Linked DNA regions of Drosophila melanogaster. The protein of the gene in region 1 purifies or fractionates together with the protein of each later gene. This does not show direct contact. Each region holds a gene or a part of one and is shown on either strand. Other genes may lie near its edges.

Region 1 (6,998 bases):
GAAGTCAGGGTTGGACTTCTCCCGGAAGCCCCGTGTCAAGGAATCGATGACTTCGCCCAGGAAAACTAGAATTGGCAATTGGTAAACATGATTAGAATGACTTTCAACTGCACTTGTGGACAACACTCACTGTTTGTGTCATCGGGCAGTGGCGTTACCGCTCGCGAGGCATCCTCGTCGTCCTCGCTAAAATCGCTGCAGTAACTGATCTCGTCCAGCGGCGCCAGCAAGTCTCCCATTTTGGGTATACTGAGCGGCTGCTGTGGCAACAAGTCCTCGCACTCCGAGTCCTCGGGATCACCCGTCGTCAAATCGCTGACAATATAGGCATGCGGACCGATGGACTTCAGCTCCACTACCACCTCATCATCGCTACGCCGTCTGCTGGGCGTTCTGGTGATAAGGGTCTTCGCCAGCGTTTTCTTGGCAGGCAGCACGCTTTTAGCACCGAGCACACAGCCCGCGCTCACGTCGCAATCCTCGTTGATGATGGCTCCTTCGCCCACCACGCAGTGCTCCAGTCTGCAGTTGTCCATTACGGTGACGTCGGCCATGAGGAACGCATTGGTCAGTCGACAGTTCTTGCCGATCCGGCAATTGGCGCCAATCACGCTGTCACTAATCACTGAGCCACTGTCTACGTGACTGCCCGCTTCGATGACCACGTTCTGGAGCAAAGCCACTTTCGAGACATGCGCCTCGGGGCTCTTGTAGATGTTGTCCTTGTGGAAGACGTACTCCTGCTGCAGCTTGTAAAGGCCTATGTCCGGAACGAAGGGGTAGGCCCACCGGTTGATAATGTCCCGACTAACCAGCTGGTAGGCCGGCCAGTTGTTCACCTTGTGCGCGTACTGGGCTGCCGGGAGCAGTGCCACATATATCCTGCTGTCCAGCAGTTCCTCGTTTATCAACAAACCCCTGACGAAGTCATCACGCGTCTGAAAGTCAAAGTTGTCGTTGAACAGGGACAGCATTGAGGGCGAGCCAATGGCAATCTGCGGATCTAGGAGGTTGTGGTGCAGCGCCACACACGAGTTGCCCAGAAAGACATCTAGTGGTAGTTGGTAGCGATTCTCCTTGTGGTGCATCCGCAGCCGCTGGTGGTAGTGCAGCCGGTCGTTGCGACGGTCCACGGCGATCAGCACCTCGTTGCCAGTGCGCACATTGTTGGCACACTCCTTGAACACCAGCGTGGCGGCCGTGCCCTTGTCGAACTTGGCCTGCCGCTTGTGCTGCTCCAGCACTGGGCGCAGATCGGCATTGGTCACCGTATCGGCGCCGAGCAGAATGAAGTGGCCACGGATCAGCGCCTTATTGTCCAAATCACGCATGGCATCGCCGAAGCAGCGACAACCCTCGCCGCCAATCACATGGACGGTCATCTTGAATGACCAGGCTGCGTCCGTGGCAATGCCGGCCCTGCAAAAAACGCGAATCGAGCGTTTAGCACCCATAATTGCATCATCCTGCCAGCTGCCGCAACTGAACCCACCTGATGTGCTCCCGGATGCTCGAGCGATAGAGGCTGGTGTACACGAACACCTCCTCCACGCCGCTGCGGTTCAGCGCCATGAGAGCGTAGTCAAGCATCCGCACGTTGACCAGCGGCAGCAGGGCCTGCAAAGAATCCAACGGTCGACAGTCAATGGATATTCACCTATTCCAGTGGCGCTCACTCACCGTAGAGCCCTCGTCGGAGAGGGGCTTGAAGTTCCACACATTGTTGTCGGCGATCAGCACCGCCTGAACGATCTCCTTCTCGAATTGGGCCATCTTCTCGCGTTGCAACCCAGTAGTTTCCCCAAAAATTCAACTCGTTTGCTGGCCACTGGAGCGATTGCGGCACGCGGTATGCGGTATGTAATGGCACTTGCAGGCTGGTCACACGCTTAGTCGGGTCGCCAACCAATTCTGATTGGACTCGCTCGAACGCCGCATTTCGTAGCATTGCCACACTGGTCACACCGCGAAAACGGCTACAAGAGTCGCCCGGAAAATAATTGGAAATAAATAATGATCGCAGCGCGGTAATTAGCACGCGTGCCACTCTGTCTGTGCTGTGTGTACTAACACCCACCTCTCCCGCGCCCCATCAGCCGGCCGAGCCTAGTAAGATCGCGCTGGATTGCCAATAATTGTCATCGCATTGCCGATGAATAAGTGCCCCTGGGCGCGAGTGTGTGCGTGTGCGTGTGTGTGCGATACACCCACCTTGATGGAGGCAACAACAACAACAACACAGCAAGCGAGAAAACAAACAAACGGCTGCGATAAGCACTGAACACGATTCCACAACTCAACTGCTCTTCCGCCACGGTCGCGCTGCCCAAGAGCAGGGTCACCCCCCGGCCAGTTGCAGTGACGCCCTCGCCACCAGAAACCAAGCAGCCAGCTCCCAGTCCAGCGAAGACCCGAAGAATTCCCATTCGCAGGCGACCCCGCAGCAGACGAAGACAAGTCACTGGGCGTTCGCGCCAACTATAAATAGAAAAGAGCAACGACGCAAACAAGCAAACTGTCCATACAGCCCATATCCATATCTACACGCACATTTATCGACGCAGAAGAAAAACCCCTCAAGTACTGCCCTTCATTCAGCGATTAGCGCAGCCATCTCTTCGCAAACAGGCGGCGGAGGAGAATCCGACTTGGCGGGGAAAGCGAAGCGCACTCGAAAACCCTATCAGTACTCAGAATCCGGAGACAAATGGACACGTTGAGCGAGGCAGTGGCCAATGGAACCGCGACTGCGGCCACCAGGACGACCAAGGACATTGTCAAGGAGCGCTTCAAGGAGGACGAGACCATAGAATACGTAAGCAATCATCAGATCTGGCGAATCAAAGCAGGCGAAGGTTTAGAAAGGAGTGTTGGTCAATCATGATTGACTTTTAAAGTATAATGACGAATATTAGCAGGAAACATGCTAAATACACTAAAATGATGATTAATTATCGCTAACAAGTAACCTTACGCCTAAATCACACTCACGTCTTCGCTCAGAAAAAAACCTAAAACGGCTGCTATTAAACAATCCTTTGCTTATAGATATTCGAGGCGTATCAGATCAAAGGACCAGAGTACTCCAACCGTCTTCTGGCCCTGGTTTCATCGCAGTCGGGCGGCACGTTTGCCATCATCGCGTTCTCCTACTTGCGCACTCCATTGTCCTCCGCGAACGAGCTGATCATCAACAAGGTGTTCGCAATCGACCACAATTTCCAGTTGCGACAGGGTGAGATGAAGGGTGCATGTTCATCACACAGCTTGACTATGCTAGCCAAACAAATTGCCCAGTAACTGTTTGTCAAGTAGTCACAAAACCAATAAGTTTGCGCTCATTATTGGCCATAACAGATTACGACTGCATTTACTTATGATAATATTGGTATCTCAAATAGTTTCAGCTGAGATGAAAGCAAACTAATTAGTGAAAGCTCGCTCTTTTTCATATATCATTTTCCAAATTTTTTGCAGACAGCAAGAGCTCGATCACCACGCAACAGTTTGACCTGTCCACAGCCGAGGATGGCCCCATCAAGTACTACTACTACGCCACGGAGAGCCACCACTACGAGGAGTTTGTGGCCAAGGTGATTTCCTTCAAGAGCACCATGGCGCAGCATGATCCCGAGACGGTGCTTAACTTCAGGTGGCTGAATGACTACCGGCAAATCGGAGAAGTGAAGCAGGAGCTGAAGAAGCGGGAGAGCGAGTACATTGTCTACAAGGACATAATGTGAGATGGAAAATGCCCTGTCAAGCAAGAGTTCTCACGCACATTTATTCAATCCTTGCAGCATCTACTGCGCCACTTGGAATGTGAACAACAAGACCTGCAGCGACAGCAACAATCCACTGCGAGCCTGGCTGGCTTGCAGTGAGAAGCCGCCGGATATCTACGCGATTGGACTGCAGGAGCTAGATACTCCCACAAAGGCTATGTTGAACTCCACCCAGGTGCAGGCCATCGAGAAGCAATGGATGTGAGTGTGCCACATAAGTTATATAGCCTCGTTACCGAGAGTCTAAGTTGGTTCTTTCTCCCGCAGCGATAAGATGATGGACAGCGTCCACCCTGACGTAGAGTACGAAATCCTGATGTCGCACCGCCTGGTGGCCACCATGCTGACGGTCATCGTGCGCAAGCAGCTGCGGCAGCACATCATACGCTGCCGACCAAAGTCGGTGGCCCGCGGCATCTTCAATACGCTAGGCAACAAGGGCGGTGTCGCCATTAGCCTGCAGCTCAACGAGGGCAACATCTGCTTTGTGAACTCCCACCTGGCCGCCCACATGGGCTACGTGGAGGAGCGGAATCAGGACTACAACGCTATCGTGGAGGGCATACGCTTCGATGATGGCCGAACAATCAGTGACCATGAGTAAGTTTGGGGAAGAAGGCATAAGTATAAGTCAGTATTATTTCACTCCATCTCTGTCTTTTTCTAGTCACATCTTCTGGGTCGGCGATTTGAATTACCGCATCCAGGAGCCGCCCGGCCAACAGCGACCAGGACCACTGAGCGATGCCCAGACATACGAGCTGCTACTGCAGTACGACCAGCTACGTCAGGAGATGCGGCGTGGAAAGTGCTTTGAGGGCTACACCGAGGGCGAGATCAAGTTCCGGCCGACGTACAAGTATGATCCGGGCACGGACAACTACGACAGCAGCGAGAAGCAGCGGGCGCCGGCCTACTGCGATCGAGTGCTCTGGAAGGGCACGCGCATCGAGCAGCTGGCCTACAACAGCATCATGGAGATTCGGCAGAGCGATCACAAGCCCGTGTACGCCGTGTTCCAGGTCAAGGTCAAGACTCGCGATGAGGTCAAGTACAAACGGGTGCAGGAGGAGGTGCTGAAGGCAGTGGACAAGCGGGAGAACGACAACCAGCCACAGATCAATGTCGAGAAGACGGTCATCGATTTCGGGACTGTGCGATTTAACGAGCCGAGCACACGGGACTTCAACGTCTATAACAACTGCCCACTACCTGTGGACTTCAGTTTCAAAGAGAAGGATATACACGCCATCTGCGAGCCATGGCTGCACGTCGATCCGCGCCAAGACTCGCTGCTGATCGACTCCGCCCGAAGCATTCGGCTGAAAATGAACGCCAATGTGCGCACCATTGCCGGCTTGCTTCGCAAGATCCGTGCTAGCGACAACTTCGATATTCTCATCCTGCACGTGGAGAACGGGCGTGACATCTTCATCACGGTTACGGGCGACTATCAGCCCAGTTGCTTTGGCCTTTCCATGGAGACGATGTGCCGCACCGACCGTCCATTAAGCGAGTATTCCCAAGATCAGATTAAGCAACTCGTGAGTTCCCTTCATTTTTGTAATTACGAAGTTTTTCTACTGATCACGAACCACGTTTCGTTGCAGATGAATGACGAATCACCGGAATACCGTGTGACGATGCCCCGGGAATTCTTTCTGCTGATCGACTATCTGTACAGGCAGGGCTCCAAGCAGGTGGGCGCCTTCCCGTCCTACGACTCGCGTCTCTCCCTCGGCGCTCAATTTAACTCGGTGCGCGATTGGTTGGACACCTGGTCGGATGATCCGTTCCGTAAGTGGACTCTATTAGATTGCCACCATAATAGTTGTGAATATTCCCTTACAATCTACAGCTGCCAACGCAGAGACGGCTGCGCAGGCGCTGCTGCTTTTGCTGGATCTGCCGGAGCATGCTCTGCTGGAGCCGGTGGTCGAGAATCTGCTGGAGTGCACCAACAAGTCGCAGGCTATGGACTACATTTCGCTGTTAAGTCCCCCCAAGCGCAATGTTTTCATGCACCTTTGTATGTTCCTGCGCGCGGGCATCGAGAGTCAGTTCTATGATCTGCATCAAGTCGGTAGGTAGAGAAGCTCCAGCAGCATTGTACCACCATCGTAACGCCATTCCTCCCACACAGCATCCACCTTTGGCCGCATTCTGTTGCGAAGCACCGAGCGTGCCGCCTGGATGGACTACCACAGCCGATGCATACAGTTCATGCGGCTCTTCATCGACACCGACGTCGAGGCAATGGGCAACGGCAATGAGGGCGCCGGAACTGGAACAGGCTCGGGATCTGGGACCCGGGCGGGTCTGCAGGCATAGTCGCCGCAGCTGTGCCGCCGAATCGGAAGCGAGCGATAGATGTACTACTCTGTTGATAGTTACGCATAGTGTTAAGCTATTTATTTTATTTGTTGGTACTTTGTTGGCACTTAGCATTTATATCTTCTCTGTTTTAACTGTTAATTGTTTGTGCCCGCCCTCCGTTCATTCCAACTCGGTTGTCCCCGCCTGCATCACAAATCCATGGAGACACGCAACCAGCAACGCAAAGATAAATGAATTGTGTAAATAAGTAATTCGTTTAGCACGATTGTTTGTTAGTTTAAATTAATGAAGTGACCCTCTTACATCCCCGTTTCAGTTGCAACTGAAAATAAATAACACCGTTACATACAGTATCAATATTCTGAAAAATCTCTACATTGGCTGTTCACATATTTGGCCACGCCCGCCAAAATTTTCAAAATTAAAAGACGCGCTACGGATTTGTGAGTACGGATGGTATCGATTAAATTCCCAAAGTTATCGACAGTGTAACCAGATCTAAAGTGGCGACTTCAGTTGACGGCAGAGACGACAGCAGAATGCAAAGGCAACGGATTACTCCCAGGATTTAAATAGCATAGATTATCGTTGAAACCGCTGACGACGCGCCCAGATGAGCTCCATGGACTGCGCCACGTTCCCAATGCATCCTAAAATGGACGAGCAACTGGCCCGAACCTTCGTCATCAACGAGGAGGAGGAGGAGAAGCACATTCAGAAGGTGCAGAACGCCTTCCTTTACTATGGGTAATTGTTATTGTTTTTGCGCTGTGTTCTGGAGCACATGCTCCAAACGGACGCTTGCCAACCGATCGTCGTTGAGGGGGGGCGGTGCGGTGACAGCGACATGTGCAGACAAGCTGCCGACAAACTACC
Region 2 (4,944 bases), on another chromosome or scaffold:
GCGTTCGGTTGGCCAGTGCTGCACAGCGACTGCCGCTGGAATTCAAATTAACCCTTAGGCGAATTGAGCTTTAAAAGCTTTCGTAAATTGTACCCATTGCGTAACTTGCAAGGGTTAATGCTACACGGGTTCAATGAACCAAATAGTTTAATTGTAATTCGTAAGGATTACTTGTTTATTTTGATTAAAAGCTTACGAAAACTGCTAAATAAATAAGTTACTTCTTTTGATAAGTTAGGTAAAAGTATTTCACCTTGTCCCTAGAACACCTGCTGTTTGATCATCAACTTGTTTCCAAGCACCCACTTTCCCCTTCAATCACATTCTTCGCAACTGTTGAACCAGATAAGGGACATATCAGTTTCCATGTCTGCGATGCTAACTAGGTACACAGTTGTTGAGCCACTAGGCACGTGGGCTTTTGATGATAAGCGAATAAAACAGACGCCAAAAATCGCTAATCAAGTATGTATGTAGAGAAAAAACCCACAAATCGACTTTCTTGGGTTTTATTTATACACAGAATGCTTAAAATTGCTGCAGTTGCACATGCGAACGTCATGCAAATGCAAAAAAAAAAGACGCAGTACAAGTGTGCTGCGAATTAAAATTAAACAATTGAACTTGACACTGGCTGGTCGTAGGCAAATATGTCGTTTAATTGCTCCTCTCGTTCTTCGAAATCTGCGGCGGCTTACAAAGCTTACATTGACTATGTACTTTAGGTTTATATATATATTGATCTGCATGAATGGGGGCCAGCATTAGCGCGAGTTCCTTCCAGTTCAGCCATTCGGGGGCACTTCTTTATCGACATGACTCATTAGCAGTCGATTCGTTCGAAGGGGAGTAATAATTATAAAATATATGCATTGAATGGCTTGAGAATAGAGGAAGGTGTTGCTGTCCCACATGTTGCTGTCCATGTCCATCGTGCCATCGATTAATTAGTTGTACTAAAACGACGACCGCGCGCCATCTAAATAATTCACTAGTGAACAGCCCCCGCGCGACCTTGCACTGTCGCCTTGTCGACACCTACGTAATGTGCATCGCCTTCGCCGCCTTGGCGGCCTGCGCACTGATCTCGTCCATGCTCTTCCGCGCGCTCTCCGTCACCTCGTCGATGGAGCGCCGTGTGTTGTGCAGAAGTTCGTCGGTGCCGCGAGCGATGCCCTTGACCTCCGTGTTGATCAGCCCGATCACCCACTCCAGGCCCTGGCGTCCCTTGCCGGCATTTGTGCTAATGGTCGAGGTGAGCAGGTCCTCCATGTAGTGGGACAGCGGCACACCAAAGACGGTCACGGTGGCCTCCTGCTTGAGCAGCGTCTTGCTGGCATCCGACGGATGCGGCTCATAGTAGAGCACCTCGTCCACGCTGATGTTGCGGCAGAAGGTGAGGTTGTTTGTCTTCAGCACCATCTGTTTGCGCTCCGGGTCCACCGTGGAGCGTTCGCTGGCGAAACAAGTTTTGGCCGTGCCGATCAGCGCGTGCGTCCACTTGGGGAAGTACCACTTGGACTGCACCAGGCGATGCGTGTGCAGGACGCCGTCCACCACACGGCGCTCGACCACGTCCGTGCCAATGATGGAGGGCGTCATCGGATTGGGGTACTTGCGCCACGCCGCCTGCGTGACCGTCTCCCACGGGTGGTTGAATATGTGCTCCGATGTCCAGATTTTCATTATGCAAGCGCCGTTGTCGTCACCGTCCGGGGAGGGCTTTATATCCTTAATTGGCAGCCGAGATGCGGGCTGAGCTGAGCCTGCGGGGGCAGACGGAACGGAATTAAACAGGGGGAGCGTTAGCTGAAGTACACGACTCGAATTTTGACGGCAATCTCGGAATTATTGAATATTTCCGAGACAAGTTACGAGAGCTGACCTTTACTCGTGCTGTGCTGCTAGAGATGACAGTGGCTCCGATAGATGGGGCTATCGCTGGCCAGTGCATGGGCTAGGGTGGTCACACTGGCGCAGTAAGAGAAAATGAAAGTGCCGCAGGCACCCTGTAGCGGTAACTTATTTATTAAATTTATAAACTAAATTAATTCTAAAAGTAATGGCGGCACTTTGACATTGCACGTGCAGCTTCCTATTGCGGCCCGAAGGTACGTACGTATTTCTCGTAGGGCCGTTTATCCAATCGCTGTAGTCGGCTCTCCACGAGCTCCCGAAAGTTGTGTATTACCTCGGCATCCGCCTCGATTAGTTTCCTCTCCTCGTTGATGATCTCGGCCAGCTGCTCGTCACTGTCCGCCGCCGCCCGACGTGACACCGAGCCCTCCAGACGAGTGCTGATCTGGTTGACTATCTTCTCGCTCTCGTAGTCCATTATCTTGGCCAGCGCCTTGGCCGGCGTGCGCCGCGCATAGCGTGACTCGGGTATGGTGGGGGCATCCAGGTACGACTCCTCCTGCACCGCCAGCGTGTGCGGCTCCTGCTGTTGCGCGTCTTGCTTCAGCTCCTCATTTGTGTACTCAATGAATTCCTGCAGGGAGGGCTCATCGGGATGCGTTTCGCTGAGCGTGGAGTTGTTTTGAAAATTGGTCAGGTGGAATGTGCCATTGGTGTCGTAGAACTTGTAGCCCAGCATCTCCAGCGCGATTTCCGTGAGTAAGTACGACATTTCGCAGGATTCAAAATTCGTTTATGTTTGCAATCTACATTGAAAACTAGAAATTCCGCACCCAGCAATCGATAACCGGTGGAGGTGTGGCAGCACTGGCCATCAGCTGTTCGCGCAGCGTCAATTGTTTCTCGCTTTGCATTTTTTTTACCTGTTCATCACAATAATAAGAGACGAAAGGCGGAAATAGGACACCCATATTTGCTTCGAATGCAGCCCGAGACAGTGCAGCCATGAAGATCAACGAGAAGAACCTGTACGTGTTCGCGAGAACGCCGCCCTTCGACATGGAAGGTATGCAAGCGAGCCCTTTCGCTCGTCTATTAATAATCATAATCCATTTATCACACACCGATACGCCTTGCAGGCTTCCTCAACAAACGGGGCGAGGTCAACAAGGCCTTCCAGCGACGCTACTTCGTGCTGAAAGGCAACCTGCTCTTCTACTTCGAGTCGCGCTTGGACAAGGAGCCCTTGGGCCTCATCATTGTCGAGGGCTGCACCATTGAGCTGTCTAACGAGGTGGACAACTACTGCTTCGAGATCGCCTTCAACGGCAATCGCACCTACATCCTCGCCGCCGAAAACCAAGACAGCATGGAGACGTGGATGAAGGCGCTAACATGCGCCGGCTACGAGTATAAGCGCATCATCCTGGCCGAGCTAAAACGCCAGTTGCAAGAGATGGAGGACGCAAGAAACAGTGAGACTGCACAATGGCTAATCCTACAATCCCTGTGCACTAATCCGCTGCGTTCTTTAACCTACAGAGATGCTCGGCAGCGCCTTGGACGGACCACAAAATGCATCGGAGAGTGCGAAGCCTAGACCGCCGCCCAGGCGGACAAATCCATTCAACAGACCCGCTCCTCCTCCACCAGACAGTTCGCTGAGGGGCGGAGTAGTCATGTCGCCCCTGCCATTTATCAACGGATACTTCGGATCGAGCAACGCGCGCCTGCAGCAGGAGAAGCTAATGAGCAAGCAAGGTATGAACACGTACTCTTAAAATGGATGTACAATGCTGTGGGTATAGTAATGCAAAAATTAACTGAACGGAAGTGACCAAATTGAAAGACGAAATGAATCACCATGTTCGGGGCTTTGAGTTTTAAAAGCTAATTTTAAGTGGGAAACTTGGCCAATAGATAACCGCAGAACTACAACTTTGCCTAAATACAATCATACGGCATTTTTCGGCCCCAAAGCCAGCTGTTTGTTTGTCCCAATACAATGTGAGTCTACCGTTAGTAGAAGCTAGAGATAAGAGCAGAGTGCTCTCAGTATAATCCGAACTTCGATTGCCAGCTTATCGTTGCCATTTACCCAGAGCCGATCTAATTTAGTCAGCGGAATGCCACTAAGCGACATTCTCTGCAAAATCTGTTGCATATTCCCAAAGCCAGGCTACAGGCACTTTCTACTTGCAGACGCAAACGGAAACGGAAGCCCCAGCGGAACGCCCAGGGCCCAGCGCCGTCCCACGCCCGCTCCTGCCATCGCGAACAGCGTCTTCTATCCCGATGTCCGGGATCCGGGAGCGGCCAACAATAATCACAGCACCGTCAACGGTGCTGAGCGCCAGCGTCGCCAGGTCAAAGCACTGGAGGAGTTCGCACGCAACCACGAGCGCTTTCGCAGGGAACTGATGCCGGATGTGTCCGCTTACCGCGAGCGCCAGGGTCAGCCGCTCATCCAGTTGTGATGTAGGAGTGGGCTGCTCCGACAAAAAGCCAATGTATTACCCGTTTTGTGCTAAATCAAATACGTTTCAAATGAACTATGCTTAATTTCCATACATGTTTGTTTCAATAAACAAAACTTTAGATATAACAAATTTCGGCGATCATGGCGCACTCAGTTATGTGGGCATACTAATAATTGGGTTTTTTAGGTTATTTGTTAGAATTGAAGGACTAAGTTGGTTTTAAAGTTAAACATAATGTTGGGATTACTCAAATGGATAACTTAAAGAAACCTAATTTTTGGATGACAAAGTTCTACATATGAAAGAACAAAACTTTTTTTGTCCAAATGAATAGACCACATATTAATTGTTATTTAGAACATAATATTTTTTAAAAATTCGATAGACACAAAACCCAGTGTGAACGGCGAAAATAATCGATAACTGCTAAGAAAACAAAAACATCGACGTTGGTTGCTTTGTGGAAACATCGATAATCGCGAGCAGCCATCGATACATGTTCCAGCTCTGTAACCTAGCGTTGTTGTTTGTAATTTAGCTGTGAAAAGTAATTAAGCCGCACACAGAACTGTAAGTTCACCCGCTAGATAAATATATTTGAGTAAAA

What was found.
Region 2: the proteins of Ocrl (region 1) and IPIP purify together in Drosophila melanogaster (affinity purification with western blotting; 2 studies listed by BioGRID, with this or other methods). This does not show direct contact.

What each region holds. Positions count from the first base shown.
Region 1 is NC_004354.4:1,921,051-1,928,048, forward strand, and holds Ocrl (oculocerebrorenal syndrome of lowe), read left to right. Parts: upstream 1-1,930; 5' UTR 1,931-2,707; coding exon 2,708-2,815; intron 2,816-3,048; coding exon 3,049-3,235; intron 3,236-3,477; coding exon 3,478-3,739; intron 3,740-3,800; coding exon 3,801-3,986; intron 3,987-4,052; coding exon 4,053-4,385; intron 4,386-4,452; coding exon 4,453-5,329; intron 5,330-5,395; coding exon 5,396-5,582; intron 5,583-5,643; coding exon 5,644-5,868; intron 5,869-5,928; coding exon 5,929-6,116; 3' UTR 6,117-6,474; downstream 6,475-6,998. Other genes in the region: eIF2Bepsilon (eukaryotic translation initiation factor 2B subunit epsilon), read right to left, coding at 1-65, 131-1,419, 1,493-1,617, 1,681-1,773; CG11596 (uncharacterized protein), read left to right, coding at 6,736-6,869.
Region 2 is NT_033779.5:6,046,015-6,050,958, forward strand, and holds IPIP (inositol phosphatase interacting protein), read left to right. Parts: upstream 1-1,987; 5' UTR 1,988-2,095; coding exon of another isoform or gene 2,096-2,629; exon of another isoform or gene 2,630-2,679; 5' UTR 2,680-2,862; coding exon 2,863-2,923; intron 2,924-2,996; coding exon 2,997-3,332; intron 3,333-3,399; coding exon 3,400-3,618; intron 3,619-4,059; coding exon 4,060-4,334; 3' UTR 4,335-4,424; downstream 4,425-4,944. Other genes in the region: slmo (slowmo), read right to left, coding at 1,039-1,686; CG34179 (uncharacterized protein), read right to left, coding at 1,725-1,766, 2,120-2,629.